4 linked regions of the Caenorhabditis elegans genome follow. The protein of the gene in region 4 purifies or fractionates together with the protein of the main gene of each other region. This does not show direct contact. Each region holds a gene or a part of one and is shown on either strand. Other genes may lie near its edges. The genes, in order: nas-36, klo-1, C01G10.7 and cbl-1.

What was found.
Region 1: the proteins of cbl-1 (region 4) and nas-36 fractionate together in Caenorhabditis elegans (co-fractionation; one large-scale study listed by BioGRID). This does not show direct contact.
Region 2: the proteins of cbl-1 (region 4) and klo-1 fractionate together in Caenorhabditis elegans (co-fractionation; one large-scale study listed by BioGRID). This does not show direct contact.
Region 3: the proteins of cbl-1 (region 4) and C01G10.7 fractionate together in Caenorhabditis elegans (co-fractionation; one large-scale study listed by BioGRID). This does not show direct contact.

Annotation. Positions count from the first base shown.
Region 1 is NC_003279.8:7,525,621-7,532,268, reverse strand, and holds nas-36 (Zinc metalloproteinase nas-36), read right to left. Parts: upstream 5,046-6,648; 5' UTR 4,963-5,045; coding exon 4,861-4,962; intron 4,374-4,860; coding exon 4,263-4,373; intron 4,219-4,262; coding exon 4,134-4,218; intron 4,093-4,133; coding exon 4,014-4,092; intron 3,960-4,013; coding exon 3,889-3,959; intron 3,842-3,888; coding exon 3,718-3,841; intron 3,401-3,717; coding exon 3,334-3,400; intron 3,283-3,333; coding exon 3,199-3,282; intron 3,147-3,198; coding exon 2,903-3,146; intron 2,577-2,902; coding exon 2,451-2,576; intron 2,340-2,450; coding exon 2,105-2,339; intron 2,049-2,104; coding exon 1,933-2,048; intron 1,697-1,932; coding exon 1,646-1,696; intron 1,598-1,645; coding exon 1,471-1,597; intron 1,376-1,470; coding exon 1,265-1,375; intron 1,002-1,264; coding exon 881-1,001; 3' UTR 554-880; downstream 1-553. Other genes in the region: goa-1 (Guanine nucleotide-binding protein G(o) subunit alpha), read right to left, coding at 6,414-6,527. UniProt on the Caenorhabditis elegans protein: Metalloprotease. Involved in molting, a process during larval stages in which a new cuticle is formed and the old cuticle is shed.
Region 2 is NC_003282.8:7,745,426-7,749,984, forward strand, and holds klo-1 (Glycoside hydrolase family 1 protein), read right to left. Parts: upstream 2,577-4,559; 5' UTR 2,564-2,576; coding exon 2,476-2,563; intron 2,417-2,475; coding exon 2,151-2,416; intron 2,101-2,150; coding exon 1,847-2,100; intron 1,763-1,846; coding exon 1,618-1,762; intron 1,577-1,617; coding exon 1,435-1,576; intron 1,281-1,434; coding exon 1,151-1,280; intron 1,110-1,150; coding exon 898-1,109; intron 810-897; coding exon 607-809; 3' UTR 554-606; downstream 1-553. Other genes in the region: npr-35 (G-protein coupled receptors family 1 profile domain-containing protein), read left to right, coding at 120-291; C46A5.4 (Peroxidase), read right to left, coding at 2,789-3,062, 3,189-3,411, 3,458-3,606, 3,877-4,373, 4,434-4,559.
Region 3 is NC_003283.11:15,084,141-15,087,431, forward strand, and holds C01G10.7 (Citramalyl-CoA lyase, mitochondrial), read left to right. Parts: upstream 1-1,606; 5' UTR 1,607-1,610; coding exon 1,611-1,817; intron 1,818-1,863; coding exon 1,864-1,968; intron 1,969-2,024; coding exon 2,025-2,687; 3' UTR 2,688-2,778; downstream 2,779-3,291. Other genes in the region: ahsa-1 (Activator of Hsp90 ATPase AHSA1-like N-terminal domain-containing protein), read right to left, coding at 58-189, 240-986, 1,035-1,104, 1,154-1,233; C01G10.15 (FIP (Fungus-Induced Protein) Related), read right to left, coding at 2,811-3,050, 3,094-3,156.
Region 4 is NC_003279.8:9,325,993-9,331,436, forward strand, and holds cbl-1 (plant cystathionine gamma-synthase), read left to right. Parts: upstream 1-1,864; coding exon 1,865-1,980; intron 1,981-2,025; coding exon 2,026-2,082; intron 2,083-2,414; exon of another isoform or gene 2,415-2,498; intron 2,499-2,634; exon of another isoform or gene 2,635-2,713; intron 2,714-2,782; coding exon 2,783-3,317; intron 3,318-3,387; coding exon 3,388-3,473; intron 3,474-3,850; coding exon 3,851-3,962; intron 3,963-4,011; coding exon 4,012-4,257; intron 4,258-4,304; coding exon 4,305-4,444; intron 4,445-4,668; coding exon 4,669-4,732; 3' UTR 4,733-4,936; downstream 4,937-5,444. Other genes in the region: uggt-2 (UDP-glucose:Glycoprotein Glucosyltransferase), read left to right, coding at 1-66, 113-237, 286-412, 736-942, 1,020-1,169.

The sequences.
Region 1 (6,648 bases), 1.8 Mb from region 4:
ATTTTAATCTGAAAGGTGAGAAATAGAAAAAAAGAAAAGAGACATAGACAGATACCGTTTCGTAATATGAAGGCTAAAAGATGGATTTAGAGATAAAGCTTAAGCCTTCTTAATTTCTCATTCTTCTCTTTCCATGGATCTCCAATGAGAAAAATGCAAAAAAACGCTTCGAATTAGAATAAAATGGAGTGTTGAGATGAGTGAAAGAAAGCTTCCGAATAACTAAAAACTGTAAGAAAAGACAATGAAGAACTAGTTGTTTTTACCAGATTTTAATCTTTCTTTGCATTTACAAATACTTTTCTATTTTCCGGAATACATTATTTCAGCAGTTCAAGATTACTATTTGATTCACCGTTTCAAGTTATGATAGGTAAGAACTTAGTGACCTTTTTCATTACCTAATTTTACCTTTTTTTTTAAATTTTTTTTATTATTTTTTATTTATTTATTTTTATTTAGAATTACCTTTGGATAAATTCACTAATGGACAAAATATGAAACAATTTTTGAAGAAAAAAATATATTTTTTATCGAGTTGAGTGAACAAAGATTTATAGAGAACATACGATAACTGTTTATTGATATAAAATTACAGAAAATCCTATAACAAGATTAGCAGAAAATTATTGTTTTTCTGAATAATTCACAAGAAATAAATTTAAGAAATAAAATGAAAACAACCCGTTTAAGTAGAAACAAGAAATGTGAATTTGAAAGACCTAGAAGGAAATAATTTAGAATATCTTGTATGACAATTAGAAAAATACATTAATGAAAATACAAATAGACATAGAAAATTGTTGCAAGTTTAGCCAAGACGTCGAAATTTGAAGAAAAACAATTCATGAAATATTTAAGATTCGAAAAGTATGGATGATTAAATAGAAAGCCATAATTCATCATGTTGATTTTCTTGATCAGATTGGCATACTCCATCAACATTAATAAACGGAGGACAACATTGTGGAGCATCACATGACGATATTGCAATGTCGTTTCTGCAGTTTTGAAAATAAAAACAACAGAATTCAAAGTAACGAAAATCTGTTGGAAAATGTTCAGACGAAATTGTCGATACAATGTTCCGAATACACAAGTTCCAAAAACTATGTAATTTTTTGAGTAATTCCAGCATCTTCAAAGCTCAAAAACTTTTTTTTAAATCAGAGTTGCTCAAGGTTTTTAAATTAATTTTTTTTTGAGAGTTTTTTTAAACACTATGTAAATTTTAAAGTAGTTTTTAAATTCCATATCAACTCACTTGGTACACACTTTTCCATTGCAAAGCCTATTATTTGATAGTAGCTTTGCGCAATGTTTATCAACAGGGCACGCTTTCAAATTACAGGTTCCAAATTCTTGTCGTCGTCCCCTGAAAGATAAATATCCTTACAAGGTTTGAATATATTTTCATTTGAAATCAATCAGGATCAACGCTCTCAAGGGTGTTAATTAAAAATCACTTACTCGCACTTTTTGCTTCTACATGATCTGACCCGACTTCTAATTCCACAACCTCCACATGTTCTTGAACACATTGACCATTCACCCCAATCTGCCCATACATTTGGTGCATCAACAGTTATTGGTGCCACTGGAAATTTGAAAATGTTATAACAAGAAAAATGAAAAAGAAACATACAAGTTGTTGTGATAATTGTTGGAGCAATTGTTGTCCTTGGTTCGGCATCGGCTGAATTATTTTTTAAAGACAGTTTAGGAAAAAGTATTTGCATTTTGGTTTTTTGGCTATTTTTAAAAGTTTTAATAATCAATTCATCTAAATACTTCAAATAATATATTTTTCTCAAAAGTCGCAATGCTCTGAATATAACGAAACATTTGGTTTTGATAATTAAAAAAATTTTCAGAGTTGTTTTAAATTTACGAAACCTCATCTGTCCAAATATTTTTAATCGGAAAACTCACTAGATTTTGCTTGAATTTTAAATCCAATATCCGTAGAAAGTTGTGATCGGAAAATAATAATAGCAGTGTCAGTCTGAGAAACAAAACTGATTTCTGGTTTATCATAGCAGCAGAATCTGAAATTTTAGTTAACACACCCATTTTCAAACATCAATTTGAAGAAAAAAGAAACCTGAATCCAGTATTTCTCAAGTCATCAGAAATCTTCAGCTCTACAAAATCAACGCATGTAGATGTACAGAGAAATGAGAAATCTTCAATAAATTCAATTTCCACTCGTTTTCCTTTTTCCGCTTTCAACAACCAAGAACATTTTTGATCAGCTTCATATCCTGGATCCGGATAATTTGGAGATTCAATCTCTTTCCATTCTTCAGTTAATTTAATAATTCCACCACATTCAGCGTCTAAAATATGCCTATTCATATAATCTCTAATTATAGTAAGAATAAGATAGAGATTTGAAAAATTGAGATCTCAGCTTCTTGTCAAACTTCAAAAATTCTCAAAAAACATACTTTTCGAGTCTTCATTCTTCTCACACTTTTCTCCACCAAGACCATCTGGACAAAGACATTCGGAGCATTTTGATGGTCTCATATATCCTCCATTTTCACATTTGGTTTTTTCAGACTTGCATTCATCTGAAACAATTCACAATTGAAATTATTTTATTTTTTTAGGAGAATCCAGTAATATATTTCTGGTTTAAAGATGGGCGGAGCAAATAGCTGATTGGCCTTGCAGTTCTCATATTAGAGGTTATTCAAAAAATGAGATTAACCTAAATTTTTCAATCGTTTGTTCTTGTACTTCAGCATATCGAAATACTCCGAGTATTTGAATATATAATCTATATATTTTCCTAACTCCATCTTTAAATACTAATAGTGGGAATATTAATATTTTCAAGAATAGTTCCAATTCCACATAAATTTCCTGATTAAAAAAAACTTTTTAATTGTCATACCTTTACAATAGGCAGTATTTATAGTTGCCACGTCATAAAACGAAAGTTTTTCTCGTTGTCCAATAGTCTGTTGATAAAGTGAATCTCTTGTAACAACTGTTTTACTTTTCTGATCAACACTAAATGCAGTACTTCCATAATGCATTACTGATCCCAAATCATACGGTATTCCCAATGTATCAATTTCATCGTCACGTTGAAGGAAATCACTTATATACGAAGGAAGAATAAAATCTCGTTCGATCTGAAATCAAGGAACAATTGACTCAATCAAAAATCAATTTAAAGGTACATACAGTAACATAACCCAATGCATCAGGTCTACTCTGTTCATGCCAAAGCCCGAGTGCGTGTCCAATTTCATGTTCAATGACGCCCATCTGTCAAAAAAAGAGGTGTTAGGAGTTCAATCAAACGACAAAAAAACTTGCTTTAACACAACTTTCACCAATTGAAATACCTTGACGACCACCGTTTCGTCCGATCATAGAGTAGCATCTAAAAATATTAATTTTGTACTGTTTTAAATAAGCCTAAATTGGATTTATTCAAATTAAAAGCTAACGGAAATTTGTTTGAGTATAGTTGAAATTGTACCGCATGACCATCATAGAAAAATTGTAAAAATTATCTTTTTTTTTTTAGTTTTGAGAATTTTTTTTGATAAATAGATAATTTTTGAGAAACTTTAAGCATCGTTGCAACAATGTATAGATACAACTAATTATAATGGGAATATAATATATTAATCGTAAACCATTTTTTTCTCTAAATGTTTTACTTTAACTTTAAAAAAGTTGAAATAAGTTCTTTACCCTTGTCCACTGAAAAACTCGATATAATCACCATCTGGTGAATCAGAAACATTTTCAAAAGTGATACACGTGGAATCTTCCCAGAAACGAATCGCTGCGATGATTTGACTAATTGTATAGAAATCTGAATTTAATTATATTTTTTGAAGGCAAAGTAAATATCCTATTTACCTATACTTTCATGAAAACGATACTTGATTGGCATGGTTTTCCACGTGGCAGTTTTATCCGAAACAAATGATCTTAAATGTAAAGTAATTAGAACAATCTTTAAAATGTATAATTTAAAAAATTACCTTCTCAATCGTTTGGTTTTATCTTTTGATAAAGCTTTCAGAATATCAACTGCTTGACGTCGAGATAGAAAAATATCACCTGAAAGCATTATTTGATACTCACAAAAACTTAATAAATACCTTCAAACAAAAACGGTGAAACTTTTTTATTAATTGTTCCTTGTTGAGTACTAATTGCCACTTCTTTCTTTGAGTCTTCAACTGCCTAAACAAAAAAAATTACAGAAAAATATAAATGACAAATCATACATCATGACCAAATTCTCTTCCCTTAAAACTTCTTGAATGCGCCAATTTTTTCATTTTAATAAGCAATTCTTCAACAGTTTCCAATTGTTTTTCTTCCACATTGAAATGCTCCTAAATTAATTTTATTCATTATTATAATCTCTATTTTTAAAAATACAGGCACACAAAATTCCGAGAATGCATATTGCGCAAAATATCTCGCAGCGAAAATTACAGTAATTCTTTAAATGACTACTGTAGCACATGTGTCGATTTACGGACAAGAGCTTTAAAATGAATTTCTTTCCGAATAGTGACACCGGCACTTCATTTTTCTTTGTTTCTTCATTTTCTAATGTTTTTCTTGATTTTAATTTTATACCGAAAAATCAACGAGTTTGTATCTTCTCAGAAATCGAGCCCGTAAATCGACACAAGCGCTACAGTAGTATTTAATGAGTTACTGTAGTTTTCGCTACGAGATATTTTGAGCGTCAAATATGTTCCCGTAATAGATGCATTCAAACATGCGAAATTGAGATGAATTTAATGAAAATTCCTCCGATTGCCAAATTTTTAACTGAAATTTTGGAAATGTTTCTGAAAAATCTTGGCAAACCTTAAATTCACTAGCAACCAAAAGTGCAGGATCATCAGCTTTCGAGCAAATAGAAATAGAAATTAAAGAATTAAATAAAATAATTGAATGACATAATCTCATATTTCTCATGAAATAGAATAATAGTTCAATTAAAAGAGAAGATAGGAAAGTGTATGAGATATTCTCTTTTTTTTGGCAAATGAACAGAAAAAGTGAAAGTTTATCACATAGTGGGAGGAGGAGGGAAAAGCTGATGGAAAATGAACACAATTGTGTGACAAAAAGGACACATTTTTAGATGATTGTTGTAAAATTTAATGAAACTTGACATTTGGAAGGTTTTTCGCTTTAGTAACACTCACTTCCGGGTCATTTATCTTGAGAAAATCATTATCTGAAGACTATTTTTGGGGTTTCCCACTTTTGATGTTATAACAATAGGTTTTGATTTTTTTAAATCTTGGTAATGATGGGGAAATTGTTTTAAACCATGCTAATAATTCAAAATAACAATTAAATTTTAAATTCGCGCGCGAGGTTTAAACTTCTTGGTGGTTATTCAAAAAGGAGTTCAGGGAAATTTAAATTTTATCGAGTTTTAAAAATATTGGTTTTTTATCTAGACATATGTACGGTAGTCCCATATGCAATTTCCCATGCAAACTAAATCACTGTACTTTTGTATCCACCAAACTGAATTTGTACGAAAACTAGTTGAGGATGTCGTTTATATCAAATAAGATATCAATGAGTGGGTGCAGTCGACAATAAACCAATGCGGAAAATATCGTCTACTGCACACCATCGTGCTCACCGACAAAAAGCGAGACGATTTTAAAGAAAAAAGATGGAAAAATGAAAAAGTAAAAGAAAAAATAGGGAGAGGAAAACAGCGAGAAAAATGAGTTTGGAAGTGTGGTTTTAGGAAAAGGAGGGAAAATGGATGAGAGGGGAAGAGTAGAAATAGAAAAATACCAAAAATTAAAAATAAAATCTTTAAACATAGACAAAAGCTGCCATTATTTAACTGTTAACAGTGACTAGGTGTGTTGAAAAATGGGAGAAAAGAAAGAAAAAAGGGGCAAAGCTTTATAATTCGGGGTGAAGAGACCTTTAGGGGGTGTGTGGCGGAACGGGACGAATTCCAACTGAATTTAGATTTTTAAAGTTTTCTTGTTTTCAAATAGCGATAAGGCTACACGGGAGTGAGAAGGGCGGGGGATGTGGCGTGAATAATGACAATATATAATAAATAAGAAAAAAGGAAAAAATAAATAATTGTGAGTTTTATGTGTTATTTTTGTGACAGAAAAATTAGGGATCCTAGTTGAGAAAAAGAAGGGCGGTGAGACTATTATGAATGAATCAGAGGTTAAAAAAAAGCCCATATACATCTGAAATTGCAACTTTTTCCAAAAAATAAAAACAGTTGCAACCATAATGTACATGTAAAGCTCTCAAATTATAGATGCATACTCGGGGGATGAGAAAAATAACGAATCTTTAAAAATTTGGGAAAAGTAAGCAAAGATACACACAGAATGGTAGAAGAGGGCGGCGAAGACGACAGCTTAATACAAGCCGCATCCACGAAGATTATTGGCAATAATCACATCGGTGACAGCGTCAAACACAAATTGAATGTTAGTTGTGTCTGTGGCACATGTCATGTGGCAATAGATTTCCTGCAAATAAGAATATTATTTCAAAAGAAAACAAATTAAATGAAATAATGAATTAAAATTATTACCTCAACACTCAACTTTAACTACCTATTCAAATATGAAACTACAGTAACCGCAATAT
Region 2 (4,559 bases), on a different chromosome or scaffold from region 4:
TTTATTAGTTTTATTCAAATGTATTATTTATCTCTTGTAAATGCATTTTCCTGTAAAATGCGTTTCTAACGTTTATTTTTAAGACTAAATTTATTTTCAAATAATCGGTATATTTTCAGATACGAAAGAGTCCGAAGCACAATACTCCGTCGTCACTCTCGTGGCTTCAAATCAACTGCAACAATTTCAATGTCTAATTTTGGAACTGAACCAACAAATTTAGGTGGAGCATCTAGTTTACTTATTGAACTAGATGGAAAACAGGTGGAAAGATCTACTTCTGATTGTTAAACTTTTTAAAATCATTGAATATGAATATTTTTATATCTAGAACGTTAGGAGTTCAAACATTTTCAGAATCTTAGGTATTCGAAAACATGAAAACATTATTACGGATTGAATTAAAAAATTATGTAGTGTATTAATCAACAATAGAGAAAGTTTTTTTTTAATCAACTGTTTCCTACAACTAAACGTTTTCCATGTTCCTTTTTTCAATTACGGTTTTCCATTTCCACGTGTTTTCTATTGTTTCAACCATCACAAATGCTTTAAATGTTTTTACTAGCATGCAATCTATTTATTATCAATACATTTGTATCCATTCTACAAAAGATTATGATGCTTTTTAAATTCGCGAATAAAAGTTTGATAATATTTAGCCGAATATTTCATGGTTCTTGTTTTGTCTGGAGAATCAAAATCGACGCGACAAATTCCAAATTTAACACCGAATCCGTCATCCCATTCGAAATTATCCATCAGAGTCCAGAGTGTGTAGCCAATGACATTACATCCTTCTTCCAGTGCTGAAATTCAAGTGATCGAAGTTTCCCAAAAATTAATTGAATATCATTGTTTTTTTATTTTTCGAAACTTTTTTCAAATTTAATTTACCTTTAGCTACCGCTTCCAAATGTCCGGAAATAAATTTTATGCGATGCTTATCATCAAGTATCTCCTCTTCTTTTCTTCCTTCACCTCCTACCAAATCCATACATCCATTTTCAGTGATGAATACAGGAATATTATTGTACTTGTCTCTAACATATTTCAAAAGCCCGAACAAACCGTCTGGTGCATAACGAACCCATGTCTCACCACAAATTCTGCAAATTTCTTGGTTATAGGAGAACTTGAAAAAACCAACTTTTCCCATTTTCCTTCATTAAACGCATAAGCTGCGTCTCTTTCTGATTGAGATGCTGGCTCCTCCCCATCATTTAAATTACGAACAATGTGGCTGAGATAATAGTTTATTCCCAGGAAATCAGTGCTTCCTGAAAAAATTATAATTGAAAAAAATTGAAAATTATAATTGGTAAAATATATCAGCAAAATGAATTTAGAGCTGCCAATATGGTGCAAGGCTAACTTAGAAAAAAAAAGTTAACTAATCTTTTTAAAATCAAAAATTTCCGATCGACAGCTAACCTTTGATGAGTTTCTTTTCTTCTTCAGAGAACTTTGGTAGAAACGGTAATTTTTCTCTCATTGAGGCTGGGAAGTCTCCGGAATCAGTCAAAATTGGTTCAATTGTATAATTGAAGAGCCAATCCAGCGCTCGATTACATGCCTGCAAATCATTAAAGTAAGGAAGTCAATAGTTTGACTAACATCAAGATCTGCAGGAGAATCTGAAGCAGGTAGACAGAATCTTCCACCATTTGTTATTCCGATCAAGCCATTTTGAGTTTCTTTGTAGTTTTTCTGGTAGTTTCGATAAATTTTTGCGTGAGTAAGAAGCATGTTGGTGGCTGCACTGAAAATAAAATATTCAATCAGCTTATTCCAAAACATTTGTTTTTTCCTTCGCTTTCAAAGGTTTTTTTCTTCAGAAACTGACATGTAAGGTGCTTGTTCATGATTCTCGATTTCTGGACGATCTGGGCATAACCAAAGTTCTCCTTCAATCTTTACAACTGATGACCAAGCCTGCATGTTTATTTCGTTGAAAGTTATCCATGTCTTCACAAGATCTCCAAACTTTTGGAAACATAAATCTGCGAATTTCTCGAAATGTTCACAATTCTCCTTGTTTAGCCATGATGTTCCATTGTCATAAATTGAAAGAGGCATGTCGAAATGGAACAGTGTCACCTAAATAACATGTTTTCGCTTTTTTATGTTTCAAAGAAATTATTACATACAATTGGCTCAATTCCATTGTCACGTAGTAGAAGACAAATATCACGATAGAATTGAATGCCATCTTCATTTATTGTTTTTAAAGTTCCATCTGGAAGAATTCTGGACCAAGAAATTGAAAATCGGTAGCTGGTGACACCGATTTTTGAGAGAAGAGCAACGTCTTCTTTGTATTTTAGACGACCTTCACAGGAAAGATCAGGGTCCGAGTTATCATGAATTCTACCATTTTCAGAACGAATTGAATCCCAAGTACTGAATCCGCGGCCTTAATGATTTCAGAAGTAAATTTCTAAAAGAATAATTTTTAATTCAAAATAAACTTACCATCTAGATTTTTTGCACCTTCAATTTGATACGCCGCGGTAGCCGTAGCCAATTGGAAATTTTTTGGAAATTTAGTTGGCAAAGACATAACCGAACAAGACATCGACGGAATGATAACTGATAAGAGGTATTTTGTGTGTCAACAGTTGTGTTCAATCGGGTTATGTAAATGAACATTGTTTGTGCCTGATAATAGAGGTATGGAAAATCATATTATTTATGTACATGAAATGGAATACCAGAAGGTTTGAACGAATACTGTAAGAGGTCAGAATATCAAAATTAGAGTTTGATAAAAAATAAATAAATTATTTCAAAGCTTTTTGAGTTGCTGAGAGCATTGAATGAGGCAAACTGGATCCTTTTGAATATCAGTGATTGAGTAATCACGAAGAAGACGAGAACAATCATCAATTGTGATTGAATGACATTCAGGACCTTCTAATGTACATGTACAGGTGATACATGGAGTTATTCGTTTAGTTTTTCCACGATTAACTACACGTTCATCAACAAGGCAATAGTCTCGTTCAACCCATTTGTTCAGGTCAATCTCAGAAAGTTCAGAGCATGTCATCGGAGAGTTTCTGAAAATTATATTTAAGTTTTTGAACTAATTATTAATAAGAAAACTGTTTTTTTAAATTTTTTAAAAATGTTTATTAAACTGAAAATGATCATTTATAGACCTGTTCAATAAATCTCCAACTTACGTAAGATCGTCTGGCATAAGGAACACATTGGGTTGAATATTTGCGGCATATTCACTATTATCGCAAATAATTCTTGACAAACTGGCTTTTCGAATTTCGACAAGTTGATCTGGAGTAAATCGAACCATTGAATCACTTGTCTCATAATAAAATCTGTCGCATTTTTTCAATCTTTGCATTTGTTCACCAATAAGACATGCTAATGTTGGGCCAACAAGTGAGCCTTAATAATTATTTTAAAAAAGCAACAAGTAGAAATTCCGGGTCACCTCTAGTTGGAGATTCACTCATGATTCCCGGGAACAGGTCAATGTCGTCAACATGAGCATAAGCTGTTTCTAAAGCTGTCACAGCTTCTGAGTTCATGACATCACGAAGATCAGAGAAAGCCGATGCTTTTCGAAGTCCACAGTGTTTTCTGAAATACTTCTTAAAATATAAATTTGAAATGTTTACATGCGAACAATATGCTCAGCCGATACCCATCGAGGTTAACCACTTAATCTCGTAATTATGTGTTAAATATTTCGCCTAAGAAACCCAAGTGAACAACTAGGGAAATTGCTAAATTGTGATGACAGAAACGGTTGACGCAAAACGTAAAGATATGCTTGGAGACATTTCGCGCCACAAATGTAGGCATTTTCATCTACTGCCGGTTTTATAAAATTTAAATTGAAATACAAACCTATATGCATTGTAACCTTGAACTCCGTGATCTCTGCCTCTTTGAATATTCACTGCTGGAAGATCCAGTCCAGTTAGTGGACCACCAGGTTTTGCGAACAAATGATTCCGAACAGCCGTGACAATATGACGATCAAAAGCCATACTGTTTGCTCCAATTAATCCCATTAAGATTGACTCCATATGACCGGAGTTCTTATCGTAAACTGGAGATGGATTCGAAAAAGTTTCAGTTAAATTTACATGATTTGTCATGTTTTGGAAATTGTCATTCATTCGTGTGAATACACCACGGATCAAAGAATGTCCAAATCGAAATGCAGATGTTGACATTTCTTGGGATATTGTGGCATCACATTGATCATCGTAACCCTCAAAATATCCAGCTGTTTGTGGCATTAGACCCCATTTTTCCATATTCTGGCAACCAAGAACCACTGGCAACCATTCTTTGTAAATAATGTGTTGAAGTTGTGCAATGTTGATTCGACGGGATTCCTATAAACTAGGTGGGTTTATATAGGAATTTCAATACAACATTCAAGAATTGCAACTAACCTGGAAGAGCTTCTCGTCACTCCAGAAATTATTTATTTGCTTCAAATATCTTGCAATTCTGTTATGTTCTCTCAAGAATATATTGTGAATTGCAGTGAGACCCGGCTGCTCATTACTTCTTTCATC
Region 3 (3,291 bases), on a different chromosome or scaffold from region 4:
AGCGGTTTAGAAGATCGGAGAACATCAAAAACAGGAGATTTGCAATTTTTCATTTTTTCACATTCGCTGGCTGAATCCGAAAGTACGACCAATGCTTGAAAGGTAGTAACGATCGAGTCCTTGTTGAGTTTCTTCAGCGAGATGAGTTGGAACATCTTTAGCGATGATTTTGATATCCGTTCCAGATCCCTAGAATTTATTATAATAGAAGGTTTATCCTCGTTTGTTCTAAAACTTACAGTATCTTTCAACTGGAAATGGATGGTTGCATGATGATTGTTTGGATACTTTTTCAGTCGCCATTTCTTCACAATCTCCTTGTTCGGCTCAATCTTCTCGAATGTTCCAGTCACGTTTTCCCCGAACAATGCAAATGATCCTCCTTCCTTGAAATTCCACTCTCCGATCGAATTGTTTGTCCATCCACGAACGAATTGAGTCTCTGTGAGCGCCTCGAAAACTCTATCCGGTGTGGCCTTGTAGGTATCGGAAGTTGAAACCTCTTTGGTGGAGAACACTTCATTTCCAGAAGTGGAAGCGTCCTTTTCCGCGACAACAGTGTTTTGGAACTGACGTTTGTCAACGACTGAAGTCTTTCCAGTAGTAACGACTTGTGGCTTCACTTTATCAGTTGGCAGAATGAGACCCTTGCTGAATTCTTCCTTCAATTCACGGATATAGATTCCCATAACATCTTGAATCTTTGCAATGAACGATTTGTTAAGAACTTGGCGGATTTGATGAGCCATTGGGCCATTTCCACTCAATGACGAATTCACATCCACTTCGGATGCATCGTTCTCATCACTCAAGTTTGGGATATCGAAAGTTCCTTTATATTCGTCTTCACTGCCAGAAACACGAGCAATGAATGTTCCTTCGATAACCCATTCAAAAAGGAAGATGAGCTTAGCCTTCCGGTTGTTTGCCGTTGCTTCTCCGTCGATCTTTTTGATCTCATCGATTGTCACGACAATTGGGCCATCCTGAAAACGAATACTCTTAATACGATCTTGTTCAACTATTAATTATACCTCGGACGAAAATCCGGTGAGAAGTTCACGGAGTCGGTTCAAAGACCACGGGGTTGCATTCTTCTCCGACCTAAAACATACTTATTCAGCTCAAAGCTATGACTTCAATCGAGACCCACCAATGCCAATTGTTTACGTTTGTTGCATCGGCTCGTTCTTCAACAATCCAGCGTGGATCTCCTTCTCCCCACTTGGCCATTTAAATTCCCTGAAATTAATTTAAGTCAGTTTATCGAGATTTTTAAGGTGAACATCAAGCCAGATTAAGTCGTTTTGTACTTAAAACAATGGAATTTCAATTTAAAACTTGAAAATAAATATTTAACGTTGAAATCAAAACAAGAAATCTTTGAAATTTCGTTGAAAACAGGAGAAACTCAATTAATTTCGAGAAAATTCATGAAAAATGGAAGAAACTAGGCCAGCAGGCCACGACCGCTTATCAATAGGGCGAGCTTGCATTGCAATTTTTGTGTGGATTTACGCACGTAATTGGTTATTTATTTTTGTTTTTTTTTTTCAGATTTTACGTTACACATTTTTTTAAAATAAATTAATTTTTTCAATTTCAGAAAAATGCTTCCTAAAACGATAATTAGGCACATCTCACAGTTTGCCGGAGTTCGGGACGCAGCAAAGTATGTTCCAAGACGTGCACTTCTATACGTTCCAGCCAGCAATCAAAAAATGCTGGATAAAGTTCCAATGATGCAAGCGGATTCAGTAGTTTTGGAGCTAGAAGATGGCGTTGCTCTGACGGCTAAAGCTGATGCTAGAGTTCGAGTACGTGAAAAGTAATTGGAAATTTGTCTACAATTTGAGTTTTCAGGCTGCGGCGGCTCTTGATAAACTGCCATATCACACATTGGCATGCCAGGAGCTTGGTCTACGTGTCAATTCTGTAAGCAGTGGTCTTCTCGAAGATGATATCATTGTAAGATTTATTTTTGAATTTTTCAAACTTTATCCTCACGAATTTTTTAATTTCAGGCAGTATCGAAAGCTGAAAAGTTGCCACAAGCATTTATGATTCCGAAAGTAGACTGCCCTGAAGACCTTGTCACCATCTACAACATCTTCCGTGAACACTACGGAGATGAACGGATCACAAACACGAACACTCGGCTTGTTATCTGGATCGAATCTGCACGAGCTCTTCTGGATATGCCACGAATAGTCTCATCAACTCTAAATCTTCATAAACAAGCCGGATTCTTCAAGCTAGATGCAGTTGTCTTTGGATCAGACGATTTCTGTGCAGATATCGGAGCTACACGAAGCTCTCACGGCACTGAAACCCTATTCGCTCGACAGAAATTTGTGACTTGCTGTAAAGCATTCCAACTTCAAGCAATCGACAGTGTCTACATAGATATCAAGGATCTTGACGGTCTCCGTCGTCAGTCTGCAGAAGGGTGGCAGTGGGGTTTCACTGGAAAACAAGTCATTCATCCAAGTCAAGTGTCTGTGGTCCAGGAGCAATTTCTGCCTCCGAAGGATCGAATCGAATGGGCTCAGGAGCTGGTCCACGCTTACAGTGAGCACGAGGCATTAGGAAAAGGAGCTTTCCAGTTTAGAGGACAAATGATCGATCGACCACTTCTGCTGCAGGCATTGAATATTATTCAGCTCGTGGAGAGAGTTCAGAATTAAATTCTAAATTCTAAATGTTGTAAAACTTTTTATGTACATTTTTAAATATAGCTCTAGTTGCCAGTGTAATATAATAAAAACGAGTAATTTTAAAATTTCTTTATTTGTTCAAATTCAGACAAATCACTTCTTTCCATAAGTCAAGTAATAAGTAGTGTATCCATTGCTGTTGCTCGGGTAGTAGTAAGTGTATCCATTATTGTTACTGCAGCCGGAGCAACCATTATTGTATCCATTGTTATCGTAATAGTAATAAGTTTGACCATTATTGTTATTATTATTATTATTCGGGTAGTAGTAATAAGTCGTGTATCCGTTATTGTTATTGTTGTTGTAACCGTTGTTCGGGTAGTAATAGTAGAGCTGAAACAAAAAAATGGGAATCAGATAATCAATAGGAACTTACATAATAAGCGTTGGCAGTGGAGAAAAGCACGAGAAGAGTGGCGATCAGTGTAAGGAATCTCATTTTCTAGGAGAGATCAAAGCGAAGTTTATGTTTTCCCCTCTTTACTCGAATCTTTTATACACTTTTACCCTACTCAACATCAAGCTCCACCTCCGTGGCTCCCTTTTGATCTCTCTCTCTTTCAAGAGAAGGGCT
Region 4 (5,444 bases):
GAGTACAAATGGCCAAAATGGTTGCATAAACAAACGGAAAAACAAAGAGTTATGTGGGGATACAAGGTAAATCTTATTAGAATTTTGGATAATCACACTTGAAACTTTTCAGATTCTATTTTTGGATGTTTTATTTCCTCTAAATGTGGATAAAATCATCTTCGTAGATGCCGATCAAGTTGTTCGAGCTGATTTACAAGAATTGATGGATTTCAATTTAAATGGGGCTCCTTATGGGTAAGAATTACAATATAAGAACCCAATTAACTGTTATTATTCATTCAGATATGTTCCATTTTGTGAGAGTCGAACAGAGATGGATGGATTCCGATTTTGGAAAAGTGGATATTGGAAGAATCATTTGATGGGGCGAAAATATCATATTAGTGCACTTTATGTTGTTGATCTTAAGGTATATAAGGATTAATTTTGTGGATTACGGGAAATTGGGTTTCGAAAAGTTTGTATATTTTTAAAGGAAGCTGTGAAAAACTGTGCGCCTTTGAAGAATTACAGTAGCTTCCAGACTTCGTTGTTTTACAATTTAAGTCGTGGAAAACGAAGTAGTAGAAAAATGGATCTTATACAAAAAAAAGTGAAATAATTGAAGAAAACGAAGTAGAATCAAGTAGAAACTACCGTACTCTTACAAGGCTTACAATCTTGTTCGTAACAAAATATTAATTTCATTTCCTATCTAACGTGCATGTTCTTTTATAATACAACATTTTTCAGGCGTTCCGCGAGTTCTCAGCTGGAGACCGCCTTCGTGGTCGGTACGACAGCCTATCTGCTGATCCGAACAGTCTTTCGAATTTGGATCAAGATCTTCCGAACAACATGCTTCACGAAGTTCCTATTAAATCATTACCTCAGGAATGGCTTTGGTGTGAGACATGGTGTGATGATGGAAGTAAAGAAAAGGCAAAAACAATTGACTTGGTGAGATTTAATACTTTTAAGCACTTTTTGTGTTAAACCAATATTTTTAAAAAATATTTTTAAAAAATGTATTTCAGTGCAACAATCCACTGACAAAAGAACCAAAACTGAACTCGGCAAAACGTATTATCAAAGAATGGACAGAATACGATTCAGAAATTTCGAAAGTTTTGAATTCTGCAGATATCAACACTCCATCACCATCAGTGGATCGAGATGAATTATGATTTTCCTGTATTTTTTCATTATTTGAATTTTTTGTTTCTTAAACTGTATCCGAATTATCACAATTGTGTTAAAAATTGTATTACTTGAATGAATATGAATAAATATTTTATGAGCTTATACAAGGAGGAAGGACGGCTAGAAAACCCATGGCTTTAAGCAATCCAGTAACAATGTTTCAACAATTCCAAAATTACCTCTGCTTTCGGGGGGATTTATTCAACTTCAAGATGTTCTTGTAAAGCTTTTCAAAATAAAATAATCTGCGTTCGGGGGGAATCGAACCCCCGTCGAATGCTTGGAAGGCATCCATGCTGACCATTACACCACGAACGCGGTGATGTAACGAAAATGGATATAAAAAGAATAAAATATCTTTATATGTACGATTTTATTGGGATTTATAGGGATGCATAGTCGGAAAATCAAGTTCCCGTCTTTTAAATACCTTTTCCATCCTTTCTTCACATAATCGCCGCGTTCGTGGTGTAATGGTCAGCATGGATGCCTTCCAAGCATTCGACGGGGGTTCGATTCCCCCCGAACGCAGATTGTTTTATTTTGAAAAGTTTTACAAGAAGAATGAAGTTGAATAAACTTTGCTGGCAAATTTTACCTCTACATTTCGTTGAAAATTTACCAAAACCAAACTAACAAAACACTGATAATTTTAAAGTCATCATGTGGAGACTAACTAATGATAAGAACTGATAATCTATCTGATCTTGCATCAGCGAGAGATTATTGGAGAACTGATAAATACATTTCATTTGTAATCACATTTCAGTTCTATTTGCTGTTGGACACAATGAGGTAAGTGTCCACACTGATATTCTCGTATAGTTGAAATTCTTTTAGTGACAGTTTCAACTGGCCAGCTGGAAATAACGAGGCAAGAGAACGTTTGGGAGAAAAGTGAGTTTACTGAATTTCAAGGAGTTCCCCGGTCATTTTCTAAAGTAAAAACTAGGTTTTTTAGGCATCGTAATTTTCAGTTTCGTTGCATTTTTTATTTTTCAATGTTTAATTGACTACTGTAGCGCATCCATCAGAGGTAGGCACGGTTTCAAGGCCTGTGACAGCCTGAAACCTACCGGCCTCCTCGTCTAAATAATGCATTCTGGCGTGAAATTAAAAAACCTGGAGATTGAACCACAAGTTGCGATAGGTATATGTGTTTCTCCTATGCAGAGTTTGCCAGCAAATGTGTTCTAGGGCAAGGGTGTTCTGGTAAAACTTTAAAAAATAAAACAATCTGCGTTCGGGGGGAATCGAACCCCCGTCGAATGCTTGGAAGGCATCCATGCTGACCATTACACCACGAACGCGGTGGTTTTATAAAGAAATGATGGAAAGGGTATTTAAAAGACGGGAACTTGATTTTCCGACTATGTATCCCTATAAATCCCGATAAAATCGTACATATATTTATGTTTTCTTCTTTTTTATATCTATTTTCATCAAATCACCGCGTTCGTGGTGTAATGGTCAGCATGGATGCCTTCCAAGCATTCGACGGGGGTTCGATTCCCCCCGAACGCAGATCAAACTTTTTTGAATGTATAAAAAAAGTTTTGTTAGTAACGGAATTGTTTTCACATATCCTTTTAATCAGATTTGAAAGTCTCCACTTGGACAGTCGAATTTCAACATCTCATGCAAAACCACTTTCAAATGCTGATCCAGTAGTTGTTCCAATTTATCATTCAAGTACTTATCGTTTCAAAACAGTTGATCAATTCAATGAAGACAATCACGGTGCCAACTTTGTATATCGTCGATGCGGAAATCCAACAACTGAAAATGTGGAAGTTGTGATTAATGAGATAGAAGGCGGTGCAGGATCCCTCCTATACAACTCGGGTCTTGCAGCGATTAGTGCAGTTTTTCTGGAATTTCTGAGTTCCGGTGCTCATATGATTGTTATGAACCCAATTTATAGTGGTACATCATCATTTATTAATGAGACATTGGCTCGTTTTGGAGTTGAAATAACTTCTGTTGACGTTGAAAAAGAAAAGGATTTTGCTGGAGCTGTTGAAAAAGCAATTCGGCCAAATACTAAGATGATTTACTTTGAATCAATTGCCAATCCAACGATGGCAGTTCCAGATATTTTGGGAACAATTGAAGTGGCAAAGAAATATAAGGTTAAAAAATATACGATTAAGAGAGCTAGATTAATTATTCAAGTAATCTATTAATTTTACTGTTTTTCAGATTCTTACATGTCTTGATGCAACTTTCTCATCTCCATACAACATTCAACCACTGAAACTTGGAGCAGACATCAGTCTTCATAGCTGGTAAGACTAGTTATTCCAAAATTTAATTCATAGGTGGATCGAGTCTCAAAAATAAAACGGAGATTGGCAGTTGAAAATTTGTCTAGGCCACATTAATTTTAAAGTAAAACTTTCCATTCTTTTAAAAGCGTCGAAGGAGAAGCATCAGTAAGGAAATGATTTGAATCATCTCCTATAGTGTTGAAATGTCCAAGTAAAAGACTTTAGTAAAAAGCTTCCAGTTTTTGAAATTTTGGCAAGTAACCAGAACTTTGACTGGAAACTTTGAACAATTTAAACATTTTGCAGTGTTAGGTGCTCATACTGAACTACAATAAATTTGATTTTACAAAACTCCCACTGATTTTTTCGTAAATAAAATTCGAAAAGAATTGCAGCTCAAAATACATTGGAGGACATACGGATGTGATTGCTGGAGTTGTTACAGTATCATCTTATGATAATTGGAAAAAACTTAAACTTCAACAATTGACGACTGGAAGTTCTTTGGTAAGCAGTTTCTGAGTAGAAAAAAAAACAAAAAACTTGAAACTTGCAGAGTCCATACGACGCTGCCCTGTTGACCAGAGGTCTCAAAACTCTTGGATTGCGAGTTGATAGGATTTCAGAAAATGCTCAGAAAACTGCAGAATTTCTAGAATCCCATCCAAAAGTTGAACGTGTCTTTTATCCAGGACTTCCATCCCACCCACAGCATCAATATGCTAAACAAGTAATGAAACAATTTGCTGGAATGATTGCATTTGATGTTGGAACTGCTGAAAATGCAATCAAGCTTGTTGAGGCTAGTTTATTAATCTAAATGAAAATTCTGAAGAATTATTATTCCAGAGTCTTAAACTAATCATTCATGCAGTATCTCTTGGTGGTACTGAATCTTTAATCGAACATCCTCTGTCAATGTCTCATGGTAAACATTTACTTCGATATTTGGATGGTCCGACTGTTGCCCCTGGACTTCTCCGATTTAGGTACGCTCTGAGTTCTTCTGAATCAAAACTTTTGTATTTAAATTCTATTTAAAGTACATAACAGAAACTTTCTATCGGCAATTTTGACAATATCCGATTTTCAATTCGAAAGTGCTCCCTTAAAATTGTTTTGGCCATTTTATTTTTTCCAGTTAAAAACATTTTTTAAAAATAACTTAAATAGGAGTAAATTATTAGAAACTACAATTTAATAATTTTTGCAGCGTTGGCATTGAAAATGTGGAGGATATTATTGGAGATTTGAATGATGCCCTCGAGAAGCTTTGAGCAATTTCTTCAACATTTCGAAATCATTTCTCTTTAAAAAATTAATAACTTCTTTTTTCAGTTTTTTTTCAGATTATTGTCAAAAGTCTATAGATATTCTATAAAAGTTCAGAAAAATCATCGCTTGTGCCGTCTCACTTTTGTAACAAATGAATTGCAATCAGTGATTTATTGTACTTCTCCTAAATAAAAAAGATGATATACAATAGAAAATGTAGAGAATTAGAGATTAATTGACATGATATCTATTGACAGGAAACAAGATGATTCTATCACTAGTGAAACGATTAAGAACTTGATAATATTGAATGTATCTCAAAAGGAAATTATATTGCTTAGAGATCATTGATTCTTTAGTAGAAGTGCACATTGAAAATGGCAATCACTATCAGGAAAACTGGAGATTGGAATTTAGAAAAAATCTTATACTTTTCTGCAAAAAAAAACCGCGCGATTAAGAACTCGGAGAAACAAAAAAAAACATTTTCGTTGCTTGCTAATTAGCAAAATTTTCCAAGTTTCAATTTTGTTTCAAGGACGTCGACAAATGTTTATCTTTTTTTGTAATTTTTGGTTTTGTCAACAAATTGAAAAAAAATCTGTTGCAAAACTTTCCAAAAATTAAAAAATAATGAAATATGGACTTTGAAAAAACAAAAGATATTTTTGTCGTTATCATATTCTCATACCTCTTATCTCTCTTTCTGTAATA